Coturnix japonica: one gene and its partner. The protein of the gene in region 2 interacts with the protein of the main gene of each other region in a pairwise test. Links are inferred from orthologs where the notes say so. Each region holds a gene or a part of one and is shown on either strand. Other genes may lie near its edges. The genes, in order: SKAP1 and FAM102A.

Region 1 (10,225 bases), on a different chromosome or scaffold from region 2:
CAAGATCGCTGGGAATAAATATAAGCTTGACTTAATGTCTGAATACTTTAGTTTCATAGTCCTGTTTACTTCACTCTTTCCAACCCAAAGTCACTACCTGGCAATGTCTCAGAAGCCACATCAGCCCTCTGCACCCACCCACACCAAAAGGTTCCTCCCCAGCACTACAAGGCACTGCCAGACGCACCTTAGATACATCACAGCCCCATTTCCAAAGGCTTCCATCTTCTGCATCCCGTTTGTTTCAATTATTCAGGGCAACCCAGGCTGATAATTACACAGTCCCGTGTTGCTGAGTAAAACTGATGCATAATTAGCCAGCAGGAAAGATCGATTAAGATACAGCAGGGCATCTTGCAAAGTTCTTCAGTGGGACTGCAGGGAATAGGATCTGGCTGTGCCCTTCCAAAGGATAAAACTCTCTACATCTCAGGGACTTGACAGCAGTTTTATTTCAATGGGATGCTTCCATCACTCAGCCACCCTGAGTTTTATTGTCAGGTCTTAACTTCAAATGACACAACTCATATCTTTTAACTAGAACACTAACAACAAGCTATACATCACATTTCCAGCCAGAAATATAATGCAGCTGAGGCTCCAAGTTGCATTTAAGCCTCCAGCAACATGCTTTCTGTTTTATGTTCCTTGATCCTCCCCTAGCACCGCAACACAACCTTTGTCTGCTTTGCTCTTGAATCCAAGTGACGCAGCTCCCACCCTCATTCAAGACCTGAACAAGGCTGAGGTCATCAGGTTTGGGAACACAGTTCAGAGGTTTAACATAGGAAATCATCTTCTCTCCTTTTTACTGTGCCAGATTACATGCAATGTGTATTTGGGCTCAGGAGCCACACATGGAATGGATACTTTCAGCAGCAAGCCAGCAGTGTGAGCCTTTGTATACTGTACTGATTTATCCACATATCTCAGCATCAAGTAATGGATTTTCCCCCCTATACACAAAACCCCCAATAGCACCGTGGTGAAGGAAGAAGAGCATCAGATTCGTATGCAAAGAGCTGTACAGATGCTGCCCAAATCATGTTTCCTGCTTTAAGAAGCATCACTGCCTACCTTTGGAGTCTGTTAACTCCACAGACAACCAAATATAACCAGCTGATGTAAACAGAAGGACACAGCATACTCTCAATTATAGCAGCTCCTGAATGCTCATTATCTTCCAAAGCACAGGCCAATTGTCCCATTGCCTGAATACAGCATGCAGTACCCCAAGTTATGGCACTGTTCATTAGGAGACACATACAGAGACAACACATACCTGGCTTTGGCTTGCTGGAAGCCAAAGAGAATCGTGTTCCTCTGCTCCCTTGCTTTAGGGCTCAAGTTTTCATTCTGCAGTCCATCCACCAGGAAGCACTCAGCATCTGAGTAAAGGGAAAGGAACAAGTTAAAGCTAATGGGAAGCTAATGCTACCCATCCTTGGATGAGAACAGCATCAGCATCTCAAGGATCAGAAAGCCCTAGTGCAGATATGAGGAAGACAGACTGTCAGCCCACCATGAGACACCAGGATTCACAGCTTCCAGTGGGTCTGTCCCCCACTGACACCCAGCAATTAGAGTTAGCTCAGGTCAGATGCCTTGCATGAACATCACTCTTCCACCACATGCATTTACTTCTCTCATTAACCACTGCCTTACTCTGTTGTGTGCAGCACCCAACACCTCCTATATACCTCCCTACATCCCCAAACCCTAAAAATCCACTGCTATGAAAGGCTGCCATTCACAGAAGTAGCCAAAACACTTCTAATACAGCGGACACCTTACACCCATCACTTAAATGAAATCCCAGCTTGTGGTTTTCACTGAAATAACCCTCCTAAGGAGCAGGCATTGAACACTAGGTTGGTTGTGCACTCACCCACATACAGATATATCACACCACGTTCTCTGCTAATGCTCAGATACATTGTGCTTGCCCAACAGGACAGCTTGGCAGAAGTAAATGTGATACTCTCTCACTTGAAAAGCACAGCTAGGTGTAGAAATCTAACCTGAACTGAAAGACAAAGAGACTACAGGTAGATTAAGTGCCTTCTATTTGGATGAATATTTATACTCCTAACAGAAGCCTCTTAGAAAAACAGAACATTTCCAACCACACCTGCTCTGTAAATGAAAGCATCATCATCCCTGTCCTCCGGCAGCTTTACTGCTGCTTTCCTCTAGCAAAGCTTGGCTTCAAAGCTGTGATGCTGTACACCCACAGCCCTCTCCAACCTTTAATTCACGCCCCATACTGTGACACTAATGTCAGTTTAATATCCTGCTTGCAAGACTTGCAGCTCCTTATGCTTCAGCTGCCGGTACAGCAGCCAGCACTGCTCAGCATGCCCCAGGAACCTTTATAGCTCCTTAACAAAACAGTTCCTCTACCTGCGAGCACAGAAGATCAAAGTGCCACAGGAGAAATGAATAACTCCCCCTGCTAAAGTCACGAGCTCTTATTTTCATCACCTATTTATGGCAAACATAAGAAAGGCTGAGAGCTGGAGGGGAAATAGAGAAACGCATCTTTCTGAAGCAAAGGACAGAAGCAAGGACAGAGCAAGCTGTGTGCTCAGGAAGCGGGGCAGATGTGCACCCCCACAAACAGGAATCCCTTCCCACTTTGTCTTTACAGTGATGAAGAGGAGCAGAGAGATGCAGCCTGAAGAAGGAGGAGAGAACACCCTCACCCTGCCTGGTATCCCACTGAGGCTCTGCTGGATCTTTTGCTTTGGTTAAGTTTCATTTTCAGCACATCTCTACACTGTTTTAATTCCCCCTCCAAGATACAGCACTGACTTAGGACAAACAAAACAGTGCTGGACTTGCACTGCTTACAAATAACATAAGTAAGAACCACATACACATATCTAGGCACCAAGAACATAACCTTGCCCTGAGAAACTTAATGTAAGAAGAGATGGAGGCTGAAGGGACAGTTTATTATGTACAAATCAGCTTTAAGACAACACTGTAGAGATCAGCCAGCGAGAGAAACCCTTGCAGGCTGCAATGAGAACAAACAAGAACCACAAACTGGGCCAACATCAGCTGCTCTTGTGCCCTTTTTAAGCACAGATCAGCTCCGTGAGCATGCCATCAGCTGCAATATGGTATTTACTTGCTGCCATGTCAGCACAGATCAGCTGCTGGATAAGTTATAACAGAACTGTGGTCCCTCCTGCAAAGCAGGCAGAGCCCTTTTCAGAGCCAGCCACAATGTTTATAGCACCAGGAAATGAAAAAGAAAGCCTGACCATAAACTCTCCAAGTGGATCAGGAAGAGCAATATGTAAGCAGCTCCGGAGTAAATCACCCCAATGTTAGTTTTACTGCTTGTCAGTAACGTTATATTCTTGATGTTTATAGATTGCTCTCTGTGATCCACTCCGAAAGTTTACAGGACTCTCCCTTTCATTTCCTGCAGCTACCAAAGGTAAGAGAGGGGGGGAAGGAATAAAAAGGAAAACAGTTGAGATTTCATCAAGTGCTTCAGGAGGGTTTCTAGAGGCAATTGCAGTCATCCACTTTAATCCCACACGCAGAGCACAGCATTGTAAGAGTTATGTCACAGCCACCCCAGTCTGGTGAGTAAATAACCTTTTAATGGCAGCACTAAATCTCTGAGTTAATCATCACTCAGAGAGCAGAGCTGAAAGGTATTTAGAGGCTGTGTGCATCTCTCCTGTGCCCACACCCCAACCAACACTTGTTGTTCTTTTCTACCCATCTGCCAACAGAAAACCAACTCAAGTCACATTAAGAACCACTGTTTCAGCCTTTAGAGGAAAACTGCAAAACAGCCTCTTGGACTGAACCAAAACTGAAACCCCATGCAAGTAACGACAACTTGGGCTGCTTATTTGTGATGTGATCAGAGTAATATAACTGTCCCAACCACATCTATTCATAAATATAAGGCTATCAGCATTCAGAAGCACTGCAGCATCACAGCGTAGAGAAGATAGCCATGATATATCAGCTTTCAACCACTGCAACCTCAGAGATGTCTTCTGTGATAACAGTGAGGCTGATGGAAGCTAGCAGTTGGCTACTGGCCCTTTGGGCACCTTGCATACAGCCCTGCACTATGGAACAAAGCTTAATGTAGGGAAGCAGACATTATGGCCCATACACCAATACACGTTGGCTCTTTGAGTTGTAACGCTTTAATTAAATACAAGAATTCTTATTATAACACAGTTTGAAAACCTGATGAGCTTAAGCTCCTCTGATTCCTGCATAGCAAGAAACCTCCTCAGCCCCTGGAAGGCCTCGAGTCTGTATAGATTGTTAAGACACAGCAAGTTTGATACAGAGGTATGTGACATGCAATTAATCTCCATTCATAGCCTGCTCTACTTGTCAGCAAACAAAGGCTGTGCTTTAGAAGGAGATCTGAAGCCTTCAATTAAAAACAGTCAGCTAACAAGAAAATAATCTAAGTTAAAGGAAGGTGGCAGGTGCAGAAATGAGTTGTTTACAGAAGCGTCAGCAGCAAACAATAAAGAGCTGCACATCAAAAATGGGAAAGGGTGAACTCCACCAAAGCCTCCGCGATTAAAAAGCAGAGGGGAGAATTCACACCTACATCTGGGAGAAGACACAATGCATTTGGGAGGGAGCTTTGATGGGCTGGGAGGCTCAGTGTGTGCTCTGGGTGTTGGAACCAGGACTGGAAGGAACTCAGTGTTGGGGTGACTTCAGGGAGACCTCATTGTGGCCTTGCAATACTTGAAGGAAGCATATAGACAGGAGTGGGAACAACTGTTTATGAGGATGGATAACAATAGGATAATGGGAAATGGTTTTAAACTGAGACAGGGGAGGTTTAGGTTGGATATTAGGAGTAAGTTTTTCACCCAGAGGGTGTTGATGCACTGGATCAGGTTGCCCAAGGAGGCTGTGGATGCCCCATCCCTGCAGGCATTCAAGGCCAGGCTGGATGTGGCTCTGGGCAGCCTGGGCTGCTGGTTGGTGACCCTGCACACAGCAGGGGGTTGGAACTGGATGAACATTATGGGCCTTTGCAACCCAGGCTGTTCTGTGATATGACTGGGGCTGGTGCTGTCAGGAGATGAGCAACAGGAAACCAAAGGTCATGAAACCTCGAGGCAGAGCAGGTCAGGCTCAAACAACAGCTCAGAGCATCAAGCAGCAGAATGCAAACAGCTCCTTCTCACCACCTGCCTGCACCTACAGCAGCAGGATGTGCCAGCAACATGCAGCAATGGGCTAAGGCTGCAGCCTGCAGTGCTGCTGCTCAGGCTTTATATATAGGAAGGTCAATGAGAGTCAGCAGGGTAGGGGGAAGCCAGCATGTGAGTAGAGGTGACTGCAGAAGGCAAGGCAATACTGGAGAGAAAAAAAAACCCACAAACCCTGAGTATAGGTTCCCCTGTTTGCATAAATACACCCCAAAGGATGACACTAAAGAAACAGCAGTTACTTGCACTACCACAGCTGTAGCAAAAGCCAGGGGAAGGGGGGGGTCTCATTGCAACACACAAGTTTATTCTACCCTGTGTGCCTGCCCTTTGGCTCACCCAGTGATGCTGGGTGCCAGCACAGCCCACACAATGTTTTAATTGAAAGCACGTGGTAGGGAGAAAACACCCCTTAACTTTATATACTCTCTCTTCCTCTACAAGCACAGCCCCCGAGACCACTAAAGAGTTGCCCCTCTCCTAATAGAGGCACAGACCCACCTACCAACTCCTGGCACTCACACATAATACTGAGAGCACTGGGACAAGCAGCCACGTCCCCTATGCTTCTCTCATCAGGATTAGGGATGCATAAGCCACACATACAACATGAGGACCACAAAGCCACCCATCAGCTATAGAAGAAAAGTAACTCTTATAGACCTCCCATTCCCCTCCCTGGATCAGCTCAATGAGATGCTAAAGGCCTTTCAGACTCTTCCCCTGCAATAACTGCAAGCCTTTCCTGCTAAACAGGAGAGCAGCAAGGAGGAATTGGGGGTTACCTGCAAGGAGTCTCTGAATGTCCTCTGGGATCATGGCCCTGCCACCTCCTTTCCACCAGTCAAACCTGATGCTCTGGTCCCTCAGCTGCAGGGACAGAACGAGGAAAGGAAGCAGAGGGGGTGGGGACACCCCGAAGAAAGTGGAAGGAACTGCAGAGCTCTGCTCAAACGATGCCTCCTCCTCCTCTTTCAGCCTCACAAGAGGCAATCAAGGTGCTGAGCTCTGCCCAACTAACTACAAAAAGCCCAACCCTCCCCCCCCCTTCCCCCAGCAACAACACAGCTGATAGCGAACTCCCTGCATTAGCATTTTAATCAGGTGGCAGTTAGGCGAGCATCTCCTTCATTAGCGCACAATTCAGCGCACCTGCTGGTACAGCAGACCCGGAGCTGTATGGCTATTGCTTTAACCCCCCCCTGTGCCGACCCCCAGCACAACAGGAGATGGGTTGGGTCTGTTCCAAACAGAACCAAACCCCCATCCCCTAATGCTTAGGAAGAGAAGCAGCTCTTGGCTGCTCTGCAATTAAACATCCCCACTTCCTACATCCTGTATAGGAAGGGGATAGAGCGTAATAGCTGCTCATATTTCTATCTTGCCCGGAGAAATAGGAGGGTTGTGCACTTTAACTTGCCTTTGACAGTCAATAAGTGCAAACTGCACTCTACAAAACAAAAGTGGCATTGCATTAGATTAACCTACAGTCCCACATCCGCTCCTCTGCTATACAAATGAATTAATGCAGGCTGGCCATGGGGATATACTGCTAATATTTTCCATCCTTGTATTCCCAAATTTTGAACCCAGCCTCCTTAATCTGAAAGAAAACACCTCTAATGACTGCAGAGTTATTTTAGGTTGGGACAGCAACTCTATATGTAAAAGCAGTGAGAATGGAGGGCTCTGATGAAGGCACTGTGTCTAAATGCATGTTTGGTGCCTTTGGAGCACACAAGTTTCCTATTCTGAATCTAAAATTCACTTGATTTCCATCCTTTCCCTTTTACTTTGCATGTTACTATGTGAGTTTGCACACTCTGCCAGTAGTTTTGCAGCACGTTCTTGCTTTTGGGATGCTGTGTGAGGAATTGCTTTGCAGCAGCACTGGATGCAGCATGGAAATCATTGCTGCCATTCAGAAGGCCTTGCACAGCAGACTGACTTGCTGGAATGCATCTCCGTCACAGACAGGAGTCTTTGCCATTACATCTGCTAGTCAGGTAGGGTTTCATGAAGCAGGATTGGGAAAAGTGAGTCTCCTATGGGAGCAAAATGGGAACTTCTGTGAGCTGCCCACGGCTCCTGGCAGATGGGAGCTGCTGTTATTGTATGCAAGGAATGGTAATGCATGCAGGTGGGTGTACAGTAGATGGATCTGTATGCTTGTTCTCACCTGGAGGTGTTTAGGGATAAATATTTAAATGCTTCTCCATAGAAATCCTCCTCAGTTCATTACAGACTGCAAATAAAAAGCAGCTGCTTGCTGAGAGTGCCTAACATTAAAAGCCGAGTTTATAAAGGGATGAACTGGGTCATGTAGATGGAAGAAACTGCCTTCAGACGTGCCAGAGAGATCAATGAAACCTGATCAATGCAAATCTCAGAAGGAAAAACACTCTTACAACTGCAAAGAGAAGGATCATCTCATGGGTTTTCTGCATATCTGTAGCTCTGAAAGCGTGGTGCAAAGAGTGAATTAGAAGCCAGTCAGTGAGCCTTGCCCAAGAGACAAACCACTTTATCATATTTAGGGGATGGGGGAAGTTTTGCTTCATGTCAAACGAGCAGCGAGTTGATTTGCAGGTGTTGTTGGTGGGGCTTCACCTTCCTTTGCTGCCTGGTTTGTGCTCGCTGCATGTGTGGGGATTTCACCCAACACGTTTCCTGTTGCAGTGTTTACCTCGTTGGTTTAGCTTTAGATCTGGGCTGCTGAAACACATTGTGATTTCTGGTCTTTTGCTGCAGATCTTGAGGTTATCGTAGTAGCTTTGAGTGTAGTGTAATGTGTGGAGGTGTGCTGGCTGGTCTTGGATTGTACATCCATCCCACAGCCTGGAGGCAGAGATCAGCACCTTGGATGTCCCCCTCAGGCCCTATCTGAAGATATTAAGACAATACTGACCATGCAGCAGATGTTGCTAAAATGGAATCCATTTTGCCATAGAGTCTCAGCTGCCGTGCAGATGTATGTGCTCACACAGCCTTCACACCATGCACGAGCAAAGCCAACCCTTCTGTTCAACCTCACCCCTCTGCAGACAGAGCCAGGCAGGCTGAGTCCCCAGCAAATGACCTTTTCCTTGCCACTTTTGTTTTTGAAAGCATGAATAGGCAACACACTTAGTTCAGTGGTCAGCTGGGAAGGAGATGAGGGGGTCTGGCAGCGGCTGGCAGCTACCCCTGCATCACTGCTCTGTAGCATCACACTTTGTGGGCTGTAGGTGTAAAGCTGCCTCATGATAAAAGCCCCACCTTCATCATTTTAATCCTGGAGTTGAGCAGTCGGACTCTCCCCTAATGCTGTTCTTTTAAATGGACAAATTCCTTTGAAGGCTCCGTCTTGCTTTGAAATCCAATTTCTCAGGAAGAAGCCAGATGTGGTTGCGTGTAGCTATGGAAACAAAGCAGGGCAGCCTGCGAAGAGCTGAGCAATGCAAGGTAAAAAGGGAGAGTGGGAAATATCCAAGGATCTGGAGGGGCTGGCAGGAGCTGTGTCCCTGCAATGGGCTGCTCGGTGTGGCTGGGTGCAGTGCCTGTCAATGCAGGTGAGCAGCCAGCTGGTGTGTCATACAGCCAGGAGAGGAGCTAGATGCACACAGCCTGGGGATGCAGGCTCCTCGCTTCCCATCTGCCCCCTTTTCCTGCTCTTCCAGCACATCACGATCTCTCAAGCCTTCCCCTCTGCCATTCAGAAAGGTTAACGACAAAAGGGTAACAAGGTTAAACCGCAAAGCCTCGCCTGATAACAGCCCTTTCAAGCAGCTGCGCCGAAATTAATCTGAAACTTTTAGTAATTAGATAAGGATGTGTGCATGCTCACGCAGGCACACGCTGACCCTGGGACGCCCGTTCTGCAGAGGGGGGGGTGGAGGATCACAGGCTTCATTAAACGGGATCAGGTCATTTGTTCACCTAGTCTGGCACTGCAGCACTGGAGATACATTTCCAGCCTCTTTATTCATCCTTCTTGCTCTCTTTGGTAATACACTCACTTGCCCTTTTGTCCTCCCTTTCCGGTGTTGTGGCTCCTGCCAGTTCAGAGCAGACTTTCATTCTTGCTCTTTCAGAACAGATGCCAGTCCATCTATTTCTGTATCACAGCTCCTGCCATTCCAGGTCAAATTGTTGGACCACTGGGTGTCATTTGCTGCCTCTGACAGTGACCAACAACTCAGTAAAGAAAAAAAGGCCTCTTTCCAATCTGGTCTTGCACCTGACTGCTTGAATAATTTCTCCTGGTTTACTAATCAGCTGTGCCATGCTAATGCTCTGCTGTAATCCCAGAGTTTACATGCTTACGTCGGTTCCATTGCCCAACAGCTCATGTATCTTCCTTCTCATGCGACCAAGTCATTCAGTTAAAGGTTGGTTACAACCCTCATAAATCATCTTTCCCCTTTTTTAAGGCTAAGTGGTCTTCCCATGTCCGCACTATTTGGCCCTGCACCTCTGCTTCACCAGGTGACCGTTCATCAGTTCCTGAAGCCAATGAGAAACAAAAATGTGTCGGCAGCTGCAGCTCTGACTTATGGCAAACAGATTTGATTCCAGTGCAAATCTAAATTAGCAGACCTTGCTGCTGGCATAGACTGCCAGATTCTGGATTCACTTACCTCCCAGACATGCTGCATTTTCTCTGTCGTGAAGGCTCCTTGGAAGCAAGCAGATGTGTTGAGGTGTATATATTACAATGTATAGAGTGTAATTGTTTCTGGTAACAGCAGGGCATTCCAGTAGGACCCCATTGATGTGATTCTCCTGTGCTTCTGTGGTGGAGATGGCACATGGTAAGGATGTGCTGGGGCTCCTTTCCTGGGTGTGTCCATGAAGGTTGCAGGTGGTCTAAGAGAGGAGGCATCTCCCAGCATCTGTGTTGTGATGCTACAGCCAGATGTGGAGAATGGGTTACACTGCTTAAATCCCAAGTGGCCTTTTGTGGCCTCCTGGAACAGCTCATGAGCATCAGGAAAAGGACGGTCTGTAAATGAGAGGATGGG
Region 2 (10,125 bases):
ATTAGTTTGTATTCAGAGCTTTCCATGCATGATCCCTCTAACCTCACAGAAAATACTGACAGTAACTCGTTGATCTGGTGAGCAGTCAACCCACACAACACAAAACAGACAGCTACATAGCAAACTAACACTACAGCCTGACAGAGTTGGGTGAAGCACAAATTCTTTTAGAGAACAGAGGGAAAGGGCTTGGGTGGAGCACACTGTGCTAAGAACAAGCATTCCTGACTCTGTTCCCAATTTTGCCACCAACTTGACATATCTTTGTGTTTGCCATTATTGTTTTTCATACTACTAAAGGTGCTAAAACTTAACTCCCCCCCCTCCCTCCCCACAACTAGTCAATACACTGTAGTGAGGGCTATTGTGGCAAGACAAAGTTTTATTCTCCAGAAATCTTTATCCACAACACAGATGGAGGGCAGGGAAAAGGGAGTTGCAGTTCTGCTGCAGTCCAGCAGGAGGCAAAGCTCCCTGTGAGTGCAGGACCAAACAGGAACCAACCTTTACCACCGTGTCCTTTTACTCCTCACTTATTTCTGTTCTTGGATCCAAAAACTAGGATCAAATTATCTCTCCGAGCTTCCACTGTGAACTGCATTCACACTCCAGGGCAACTGCTGACTGTCACCAGAGAGATCCCAGGGGTGTGAATGTGGGCATAAAGCCACCACGTAGCACATGATGTTTAGAAATCTCTTCTGTTGCAAAGGTGAAAGTTCCCTGTGTACCCAGAGCTAAGTAACCTCTCTGGAGTCTGACTGTCTGCAGTCCTTATAGGAAACCTACCTGTTTCCCAGCTGAATACCACTCAGTGTAGTTGTTCCATCTCTGCTCACAAACAACCGCAGGTTACTGTCTGCAGATAGAAAAGGAAGTAGGACATTAAAGTACAGAACTCCTTCTGGTGATTGCCAAGTTCTCCTCTCCCAGCTGCATTACAGAATGTTCAGCAGAGGAACAAGTGCATTTCTGTGAATCCATACGCACACTGTATGGTGTTCCCATAGCAATTGGACCCCTAAGAGCTCTCCTGCTTTAAAAGGGAGTCTCATATACAAATCAAGCACAACACTAAGCTATGAAGAAACACTTGTTTTTCCTCTCTCACCCTTATGTTTAAGCTACTCTTTTACCTCTGCTGTGGTCTGTAGAAGAACAGTGGCAGGCACTGTTCGCAAATTGATGCACAGCTCTCAAATCCACGGTTTACTACCATAGAAACACCTAGCAACCACTGAAAGAAAATTACTGTCAAAGGGGGGAGTCTGTAGCAGACCAAATCTGGCTTTGTACAAGGTTGGCAGCTTTGCTAAGGAAACAGCCAAGACTTCCCCTCTTGAGACTCATGCTCTCACCTTCAGTATTGCTGACATCTGTGAAGTCCTGACTCTGCATTATTTTCTCCACTATATCATCTGCATCAATCCTGGTGTCATCCACACGGGTTGGGTGACTCTCCACTGAATCCTTTTTTCTCCTGGGGAAAAAAAATCAAGGGAAAAAAAATCAGCCTTTACTGATGGACTTCTAAATTCTCTCACTTCTTTTAGGAACAGTACTTCTCTCAGCAGCTAATTCCAACCTACTGCTGGTTAAAGACCAGAGAATAAATTCCATCTCAGCTTCCCAAAGAGGGGGCTTTGCACCACAGTTACCTACCGGGAAGGTCTGTCCAGCAGAAGAGCTGGTCTGGGGGGGCGAGGTGGCTTCTCTAGTTTGTGGTCCCGCTCTCCCTCAGGGCATTCCACCGTCATGCTCAGCCCTCCGGATGCACTACTGCTGGTGGAGGTATTCCGGCGATGGGTCAGGTCAGACATACTAGAAGAACGGGAATGCTCCGTGCTGTAACCTGCAAATACAGCAGCATAGTTACAAGTCACACCTTCCCTCTTTCCTGAAGACAGAGTTAACACGCAGCACAGCTTCTGCTCTTGTATACTGAGGTTTATACATAAATCTATGAACTTATCTGCAGAGACTGACCAAGAAGCTCTGATATTACACTGCTGGGTAAGAGATAAGGCTGCAAGTCACTCTCATGAGAGCTTGCTGCAGCAAAGGATGGAGCCAATGATGGCACAACCATGTGGATCAATAGTTACCAGAGATCTTGGACTGCTGGCTGGCATAGCTGGAGTTCCGTGAGTGCCCTGAGTGGAAGACTTCCTCTGGGCTGGACAGATTCTGATCTGGTTCTTCAGGGACACCTGCTGAGAAACAAGGCATTCCAGTTACACCACAACCACATCAGTACTGCCTGCTGCCTTAGACTAGATGCTGATCCTGGGACACTAGATTAAGGAAAGTGAAAGCAGGTAGAAGCCTGCTGTAGCAAAGAGCTTACGTGCACTTTGGAACTAGGGATAATGACAACAATTTCCTCTGTTAAGTTCATCATTAATTCTAGCACCCAGTACCTGAATTAACCTTGGCCTTGAAGGACCTAGAAGGACAATGTCCAGAAGTTAATGATTTTAACTACAGATAGCTAACAGCCTGAAAGCATCAAATGGCCACCATCAGTAAAATATTACAATTTCTGTTTGGGTACTTCTCCTGTCATGGCTTTTGTCCTGCTATTATTTGTGAGCCCACACCATTTAAATAATATCTTTGATATGAACTTGATACAGGAACTTCAGGATAATCTCTGTTTCTTTACCCTTGCCCCAGTTTGCCTCACATGCAACAAGTTTATCTGAAAGTATGCAAGCGTAACATGCTGGCAAGCTTTTCCAGATCATCACCTGTGCACTTTGCTGTCACTGAGGTTATGTGACCAGAGCTCTATTTTGGTGCAGTGTCTGCCTGCACATTTTAGAGTACGCTGGGAAGAAAAAAGGCAATAGGAAAACGCAGTGTCCTTGAAAATGGGCTCACACAGAAGCCAAAGAACTCTGCATCAGCAGCTGGATCAAGGCCATTAGATCTCAAACCAACCTCTAAAACCACCAAAGCTTTTCTAGAAGAATAGCTGAGTGGAGAACAAAGCTAAGTGTCACTGAACACAATGGAAGGCAGAGATGAACGCAATACATTAATTATTAAATCCTCAGGAAAAAAGATTGCTTTATCTCCACCTATAGAGGCATGGAGAGTTTTGTTTTTCCTAAATGAGTTGAGAGCAATGAAAATGGGTTTGAGAAATCATGAAATATTAAAGAACTTCTCTGTTTGCAATTGCTGAGAAAAAGAAGAGAAAGCACCCAAGTACATCTAAGCATTGCATGGCTCCAGGATGGGCGCTCTTACCCGAGCTGAGAATGGTTGCTCTTGGCTTGGTCTGACGCAGAGAACCAATTGTGGCTGAACTGCTGTTGCTGCTTGTGGTTCCTTCACCCTTGCAGGTAAGTTGCAGGGTAGAATCCTGCCCTGGTATAGTAATGGATTTGGCGGTGGAAGGCGGCCTGCAATCACAAGAGAAGTGTTACAAACAGTGAGGCAGGGACTGGGGATCATCTGGCAGCCTCTCTGACCAGCAGCACAGTGTAACATTTGCTGCTTCCTCCCCTCTCCCCCACTCCACCCCCTTGCTATATACAATATTTAGGTCTTCCCCATCTCATAATGCATCTGGACTGCAGATGCAGCATTTTACAAACTGCTGAATACAAGGAAAAGCAAGTTTTTGATGTAAATTAAGGCAAAAAACTGAGCACTCCATCATTTATACAGGACAACCTCACTATCCTCCAGGAAACTATCCAGAGCTGCCCTTTTCCCCCAGCACATGTTCCAGCAGCCAGTCAGCCTCACAAACAGGAACCAGTTTGCTTTTGTCCAGCCCTAAATTCCAGCACCCTTCTGTTACATCTTTCAGGCTCAGGCCAGAAAGAAGCCTTTTATCCCCTGTCCCTCTTTTACAATGCTTAAATAACCTCTCCATTTTTATTTGATGATTAAACTTATTTTCAACGAGACTAAAGTATTTTTACAGCTGTCAAAATTATTTTTCTGGTTATTCTGTGTGCTTGCAACATCCCTTTGTAAATGCTGGCTCTTGGATAGAACTGCAATTGCCTGGAGCCCCCCTCCCTTCCTCCAGAAGTGTTTTTGGGTAGAAGCCATGGCATGTGCAGCATGGCAAGGTTAATATTCCTGTTGGAGCCCTCACTTCCTTATAGCCTGAAGTCTGAACTGCAACCAATGGATTATAGTATGCTTTTCAAGCGAGGAGAGAGAAAGGAAAACTTTTATTTGTTTCACTTGGAACTTTGAGGCCAATGAGGGTTGATGCTACATGAGAGGAACTTTCCAGTGTTTTGGGAGAAAAGACATTTCTTATGGCAGCCAGAGAGATACAAAGGTTTCAGGAAACCCACAGCATGCCTTCCCCAGGGGAAAACAAACAGAAAAAACAATAGACAAACAGAAAACAAACAACCACCAAAAGCCTCCTCCCTAATTGCATTATCAGGGATTTACATGCAGTCAGGTACTTTAGGGACTCTGTTTCACAGGTTAACAAGGCCCTTACTGCCTTAAGCAAGCAAGCTGTTCCTGCAGCAGCTGCCAGGTCAGGCAAGCAGCCCATGCTCCCCTCTGTATGACACCCAGGAGAAGCTCTGTCTCTGCTGCAGAAAGCAAGTGCTCAGCGAGCACGTTCAGGAGTGATTTCCCAGCACAGTTTAATTCTTGCCTAATCCTCTAATGAGTGTCATTTCTCAAAAGCTCTCCTGATCAAGGACTATCCTACATGCAAAGCTTCCATTTTTAGACATTTGTACATCATCACCATATAAAGAAAAGAAATGGGATGACTACAAAAAAACTTTAAGAAAATAAGGAGGTTTGACTTTCAAACTGACCTTACTTCTATTAAATTGATGTTTATACTCCATTCTGCATAATATTCAGGCAAAGAGGTGAGGGTTTGCTTCCACAGTGGAAAAGCAGCAGGTATTTTTGTCAAATGTTATTAGCCATTACTTCATTTTATCATTGAAACTAACCCTGGTAACCTGGCCTTAAAGCATCTGCCACTATTTAACGTGGTTTAAGATGCTCCAGTTTTCCTCCTGAAGCCATTTCTTTTTTCCAGAATCAGGTGGTACTTTATTTCTGGTTTGAAAGTGTCTCTGCTACACTGTGAAAAGGTATTAACAAGGTAAAAATTACATCAAGAGGTATGTGGCACTTCATAACAACGCAAACTAATTCATGCACTGCAAACTAGCACCTAAAATTAGACGTTATAGCCCAGAACATTACTGCTATGAGAGATGAGCTGAAGGTAAAGCCTTCTTCTCTCACACTGCTGGAGTCAACACTAAACAATCAAATTAGCACACAGCAGTCCTGTGTGTGCAGCCACATGCCTTACAGCACACTACTGCAGGCTGGCCCAGATTGCAGAGCCTCACAACCTTGTACTGCAGTATGAAGGCACACAGTGTGTTCTATCTGTTAAATGATGCTGCAACAATTGTTAAAACAAAGAACTGCATCACAGCTTCACTGTATTTATCCTTTCTTATCGCAATGGACTTAAAAGAAAGAAAGGATGGTAACAGTTTCTCTACTAATCAAAACAAATTATGAATGCAGGTCCATGTAGAAGAACAAGGGAACTAAGATGTTTCAGCTTTGCAGTATTTTTGCTGCTGTTTCAAGTCAACATCCTTATCTTGCATGGTATGTGCTAAAATATGTTCATTCCCAAGACCATTTTCCTCACTGACCTTTCCCTTCTCAGAGGTCACTGAAACCATCCCCAGAGCTATGAGAAATTCTACCCTTCGCGCACAGCACCAAGTTTGTTAAAACTCATTAGTTTCCAAAACTTAACCAACATTAAGAAAAAGAAGGTACTGCGTGCAACCAAGCCTGTTTCTTTCCCTGTAGGGGAAAAGGCCCTAAACAAGGCAATCCCCAGTCCAAAGGACTCAGAAATTCAGTTTTTGAGTTTAAAAGGCCAATGTGAGAAAAACACTTCACTGATAACATCTCACAGAGCAGCAGTGAAAACTGACTGACACATACACACACCTTTTGCAGGTCACCCCTTGCATCTCCCAACACTCACAGATGTTATCACTAGCTTTGAAATCCAGGATTCCCCTACCCCATAGTAGATTCTTCCTTTTTATAGTGGGGGAAGCAGAGCAGAGAACAAATGAACCAAGAGTAGTCTTGTTGTGCTATTCTAGCTGATTCAATAGTCCAGGCTCTCCCCTGTATTTCCTAATCTCAAGGACACCTTTTTCCTCTTCCCAGCAATTTTAGTTTCCCAGCAGAAAAACTGAAAAAGCACATGGTGTCCTGGTCTCCCAAAAGCAACATCAGTACTCAGAAACTCACGTTTTGAAGCAGGGGTCCCCTGAGAGCAGAGACATCCCAATCGTGACCTGGAGAGAGAGAACAAAGCATGTCATCATCCACACCACTGAGAGCTCCTTGCTTCAGGAGGAGGCCAAGGGCTTGGCGTAAAGCTTAGTGAGACCTACTTCTTCTCAAGAGAAGACCAGCTTTGGGAATTTAGCAAGGTATTCCCTCCCTCCCCAAAGGGCTGGCATCAATATCTCCAGGTTGCAGTAGCTCAGCAGGAGGCAGAATACTACTGAGGCTCACTCCTTGGCCAAATGGATGCCAGTGTATCAAAGGGTGACTCTGACAAGCTTCCTGAGTCAGACAACCTGCATAAAAGCAAAACCCCATCTCCGTACATAACAGGATCTTCTTACAGGCCCAGCAATATGCTCTGGTTGTGATCTTTTGGCATTCAGTAGTAGGAGTTCCACTATGTCAGTGCCAGCTGCTGTACCTTTAGGATGGAGTTGTCCTGTCGTGTGTTCTTAGTATCGTATCCTTCCAGCAAGCAGCAACGAACAGTCGATCCAGAGCCTGCAAATTCTGCCAGATTTAGATCAGCAAAGCCCAGCTGCCATCAAGAAAAGGGAAAGAGAACAAAAAATTAAAAACAATCAAATAACTCAATAAAGGAGATGCACAGACTAAAGGAAGACAGCACCCCTGTGAGTTAGAGCAGAAACACAAGCCAGTGCACGCAGAGACATGGCTGATGAGACCCTTATACCTGAGAATGGAAGGGACAACACTCCCCATCCCCAGCCAGGTGACTCAGAGGAACATCAGCTCTGTGCAAGGAAGGAAACAGAGCAGTAATGCTGGCCAGGACAGCGTTAACCAGCCTGTAGCCATTGCATAACAAAGGACATGGATGGCACTAGGTCAACAATGTGGAAAAAACATAATCACACATACACAAACATAATAAGGTACTCTTTGTATTGGGCCATCCCAGAATGCAGTGGAGCATATGAACAAGGAGATGAAAGGGTATTGTTATAAGGCAAAGTTGATGCTGTCCTGAAATACAAAACAGCCTTGCAGCACAGCAAGCTGGAATTCAAGAGCCATGCAGCAATGTATGAGCTTTACAGCTACAGATGTGGCTGGGGAACTCCTGCACCACAGCTTCCTCAACATCTAAGATTGAACTAGCAAGTAGCTCACTTGACAGTCAGAAGAGAAGAGTTAACTGTGAGATCTCTAAACGTTCTTTAACAAACAGAAAACAAATACAAAAGGTGACAGGAAGATTACAGGTAAATTCTAACAGGTTATTTGATGTCTCTAGAGTACAAACACAATGAAGATTAGCTTTGCTTATCTGCTTTAACTTCTACTGTAGGAATTACAGCACTTTCCCAAAAGAAAAAGTCACAGCTTCCTACAAACTCAACACAAGTCAGTTGTGTCTCATCTAATCTAACCAGAAGAGATGATGTAACCCACATTTGGCCAAACAGTCTCAGCACAGAAGGTCTGCACCACTTCAGCACACAGATCAGCTGCCACAAGAACAAGGAAAGAGGTGGAAAAGCAATGTGTAGAATAATAGCTAGACCTGAGTTTTTAAGTACATTTCTCCTGTCCTAGTGTTGACAACCTGGATGATACAACTGAACTTAGCCTCAAAATATAACTCTGTGCTAAGGAAATGTGGCGCTCCCATCTGTGGAAGCTGATGGGAGTTACAGCACAAACCATAGCCACTGTTGTGTGACCTCTGGCTCCCATTGTTCCAAATCAAAAGTTAAAGCCGCAGCCTACACATGCCTGTACAAGAAGTATGATTCAAGGCATGATAGCAACGAGATTAAGATACCTGCTCTGCTTCCTTCATCTCACTCTGAAAAGGGAACAAGAGCTGATGGCAAAGAAAAAAAAAATAGGGGTGGGACAGAACAGGAACTTTTCTTCTCCAAAAAAAGAGAAAAAAAAGAAAAGCCCTCACCCCCTTCTTAAGGATTCCCTTAACTCCAATGTTTTTCCAGTCATTGCTGTATATCTTTTTCTCCTTCTTGTCAAGGGCTACGTTTCTTATGAAATATTCAGCAATACAGAAAAACCAACACCAATGACTTTCTAATCTTAAAGAGATGAAGTGGAGAGGAGAAAGCTACACACTGAGCTGCAGCACATCAGAACTGGAGGACAGAAAAGGTTCCTCTGGTGTGGTTGCACTGCACAATACAGCACGGCAGTGGTCAAGACCCAGATCCCCATTTTCCTCCACCAAAGGCATTAACAGAGTGTCAAGAGAATCACAGAGAGCAACACCAAAGTGGTGGATCCATTGATCCACATCCACACTGTGTGCTGAGGTCAGATGCCCTTCTCAGGAAGCAGACTCCCAGTATATAGAGGAAGGATCCCTTAGCAAGAGGATGTTTTCAGAAGTAACCTTTCCTAATAGTTTCCTCAGTTTTCCAGCCAGCTGATGGTGTTTCTTCCAGCTTGGGAAAGAGTTTCCGCTTTATCAGTCCTTCCTGTTAGCTTCCACTCTATAACCCCTGACACTGAAGTGACAACAACGTCAAACCAAAAGGTACACGAGGCTATGGAAACTGTCTTGAGCATAAACAGCTCCAGTGCCGTTAGCCCTGCTGAAGTGAGAGCAGGTAAAGGCAGACACATCTCTCCTTCCAACTCATCTGCACTCCCTGGACAGGCGGCACCTCAGAACAGAGGAATAACCACCCCCTCAATGTCAGTGTAGTGGAAGAGAAACTGATAGCCCCAGAGACACTGTCCTCATTAGTGTCAAAAAAGGAACAGTATGGATAGCAACATCATTTGCTGTGACACAGTTGTACTAAGGTGCGAGTGCAGCCCTCCTCTCAAAGCCTGGTACATCCAGGAAGGCCATCGATTAGATGAAATTCTTACACAGTTGTGTGTGACCCAAACATCTGTTTATTAGAAACTAGCACCAGTGACTCATTTTCAAACATGGATTCGGGCTCTGTGTGAACTCTGCTTTTAAGCCAACATTGTCTCTTGTTCCAGCACAAAGAGAAGGGGGTGGCATCCAGCCCATTGTCTCTCATAGCCTGAGCAAGAAAACGAGGAGGATGGGGGTGTAACAGAATATAAAAATAATATTCATTTCTTGCCTCAGTGTCTCCCGCCCTGGGAATGCAGTGATTTCTGCTGTAGGTTTCTGCCTGTGCTCACAATGCAACAAAGTGCCCACCCCAGCTGTAGCTGGTTCTGTTCTCCTGAGCACAGTAACTTGGTCTGTATTTCTTCATTAACAAGACACTGCCAGAAGCCAGAGAGTTCACATCTGACTCAGAACTTCCCCAAAGTCTGAGGACACGCAGAACATCTTCCCAACCCCCTTCCCAAATCCACATCCAGTACAATCTGGATCCTGTCCCTGCCAGTATGTTTTTTTGGAAAAGCACTTAACTTGTGCCTAAACTAAGACCCAGTGACTGCTTCTCCAGACTCCTTCACAGAGCAGCCGTGCTACTTTCTGCCTGTTCAGTCACGGGTTTACAATGGCTGTAAAGCACTAAGAGCACACAAGACAGTCACCACTCCAGACAGTCACCACTCTGTCACATTTGCCCTTTCTTTGCTCTTACCTTGGAGTAGGTTTTTCCGCCCTTCAGCTCCTATAATGGGAGACAAAACAAACAGGAAAAGCAGCTATTACATGTGCTGGGGAAACAGGGGGAAAGTCATTACTCAACCCTGGAATTTGCTGTAAGGATTTCACAAACTTCTGTCTCTCAAGGGTACCAACACCCTGCTCTGTGTTAAGTACCCTGGCTGGGAAAGAGGCTCCGTGTAGTTTATCCTAACCCA

Evidence for each region.
Region 1: the proteins of FAM102A (region 2) and SKAP1 interact in binary tests that used the Homo sapiens proteins (3 or more experiments, as listed by UniProt). The two-hybrid records come from large-scale screens. The link is inferred for Coturnix japonica from reciprocal best matches to the Homo sapiens genes EEIG1 and SKAP1.

What each region holds. Positions count from the first base shown.
Region 1 is NC_029542.1:3,279,986-3,290,210, reverse strand, and holds the start of SKAP1 (src kinase-associated phosphoprotein 1), read right to left. Parts: upstream 6,216-10,225; 5' UTR 6,042-6,215; coding exon 6,008-6,041; intron 1,389-6,007; coding exon 1,283-1,388; intron 1-1,282. UniProt on the Homo sapiens protein: Positively regulates T-cell receptor signaling by enhancing the MAP kinase pathway. Required for optimal conjugation between T-cells and antigen-presenting cells by promoting the clustering of integrin ITGAL on the surface of T-cells.
Region 2 is NC_029532.1:3,603,700-3,613,824, reverse strand, and holds part of FAM102A (protein FAM102A), read right to left. Parts: intron 9,933-10,125; coding exon 9,903-9,932; intron 6,884-9,902; coding exon 6,767-6,883; intron 6,351-6,766; coding exon 6,304-6,350; intron 3,411-6,303; coding exon 3,256-3,410; intron 2,214-3,255; coding exon 2,106-2,213; intron 1,853-2,105; coding exon 1,663-1,852; intron 1,481-1,662; coding exon 1,359-1,480; intron 860-1,358; coding exon 790-859; intron 1-789. UniProt on the Homo sapiens protein: Key component of TNFSF11/RANKL- and TNF-induced osteoclastogenesis pathways, thereby mediates bone resorption in pathological bone loss conditions.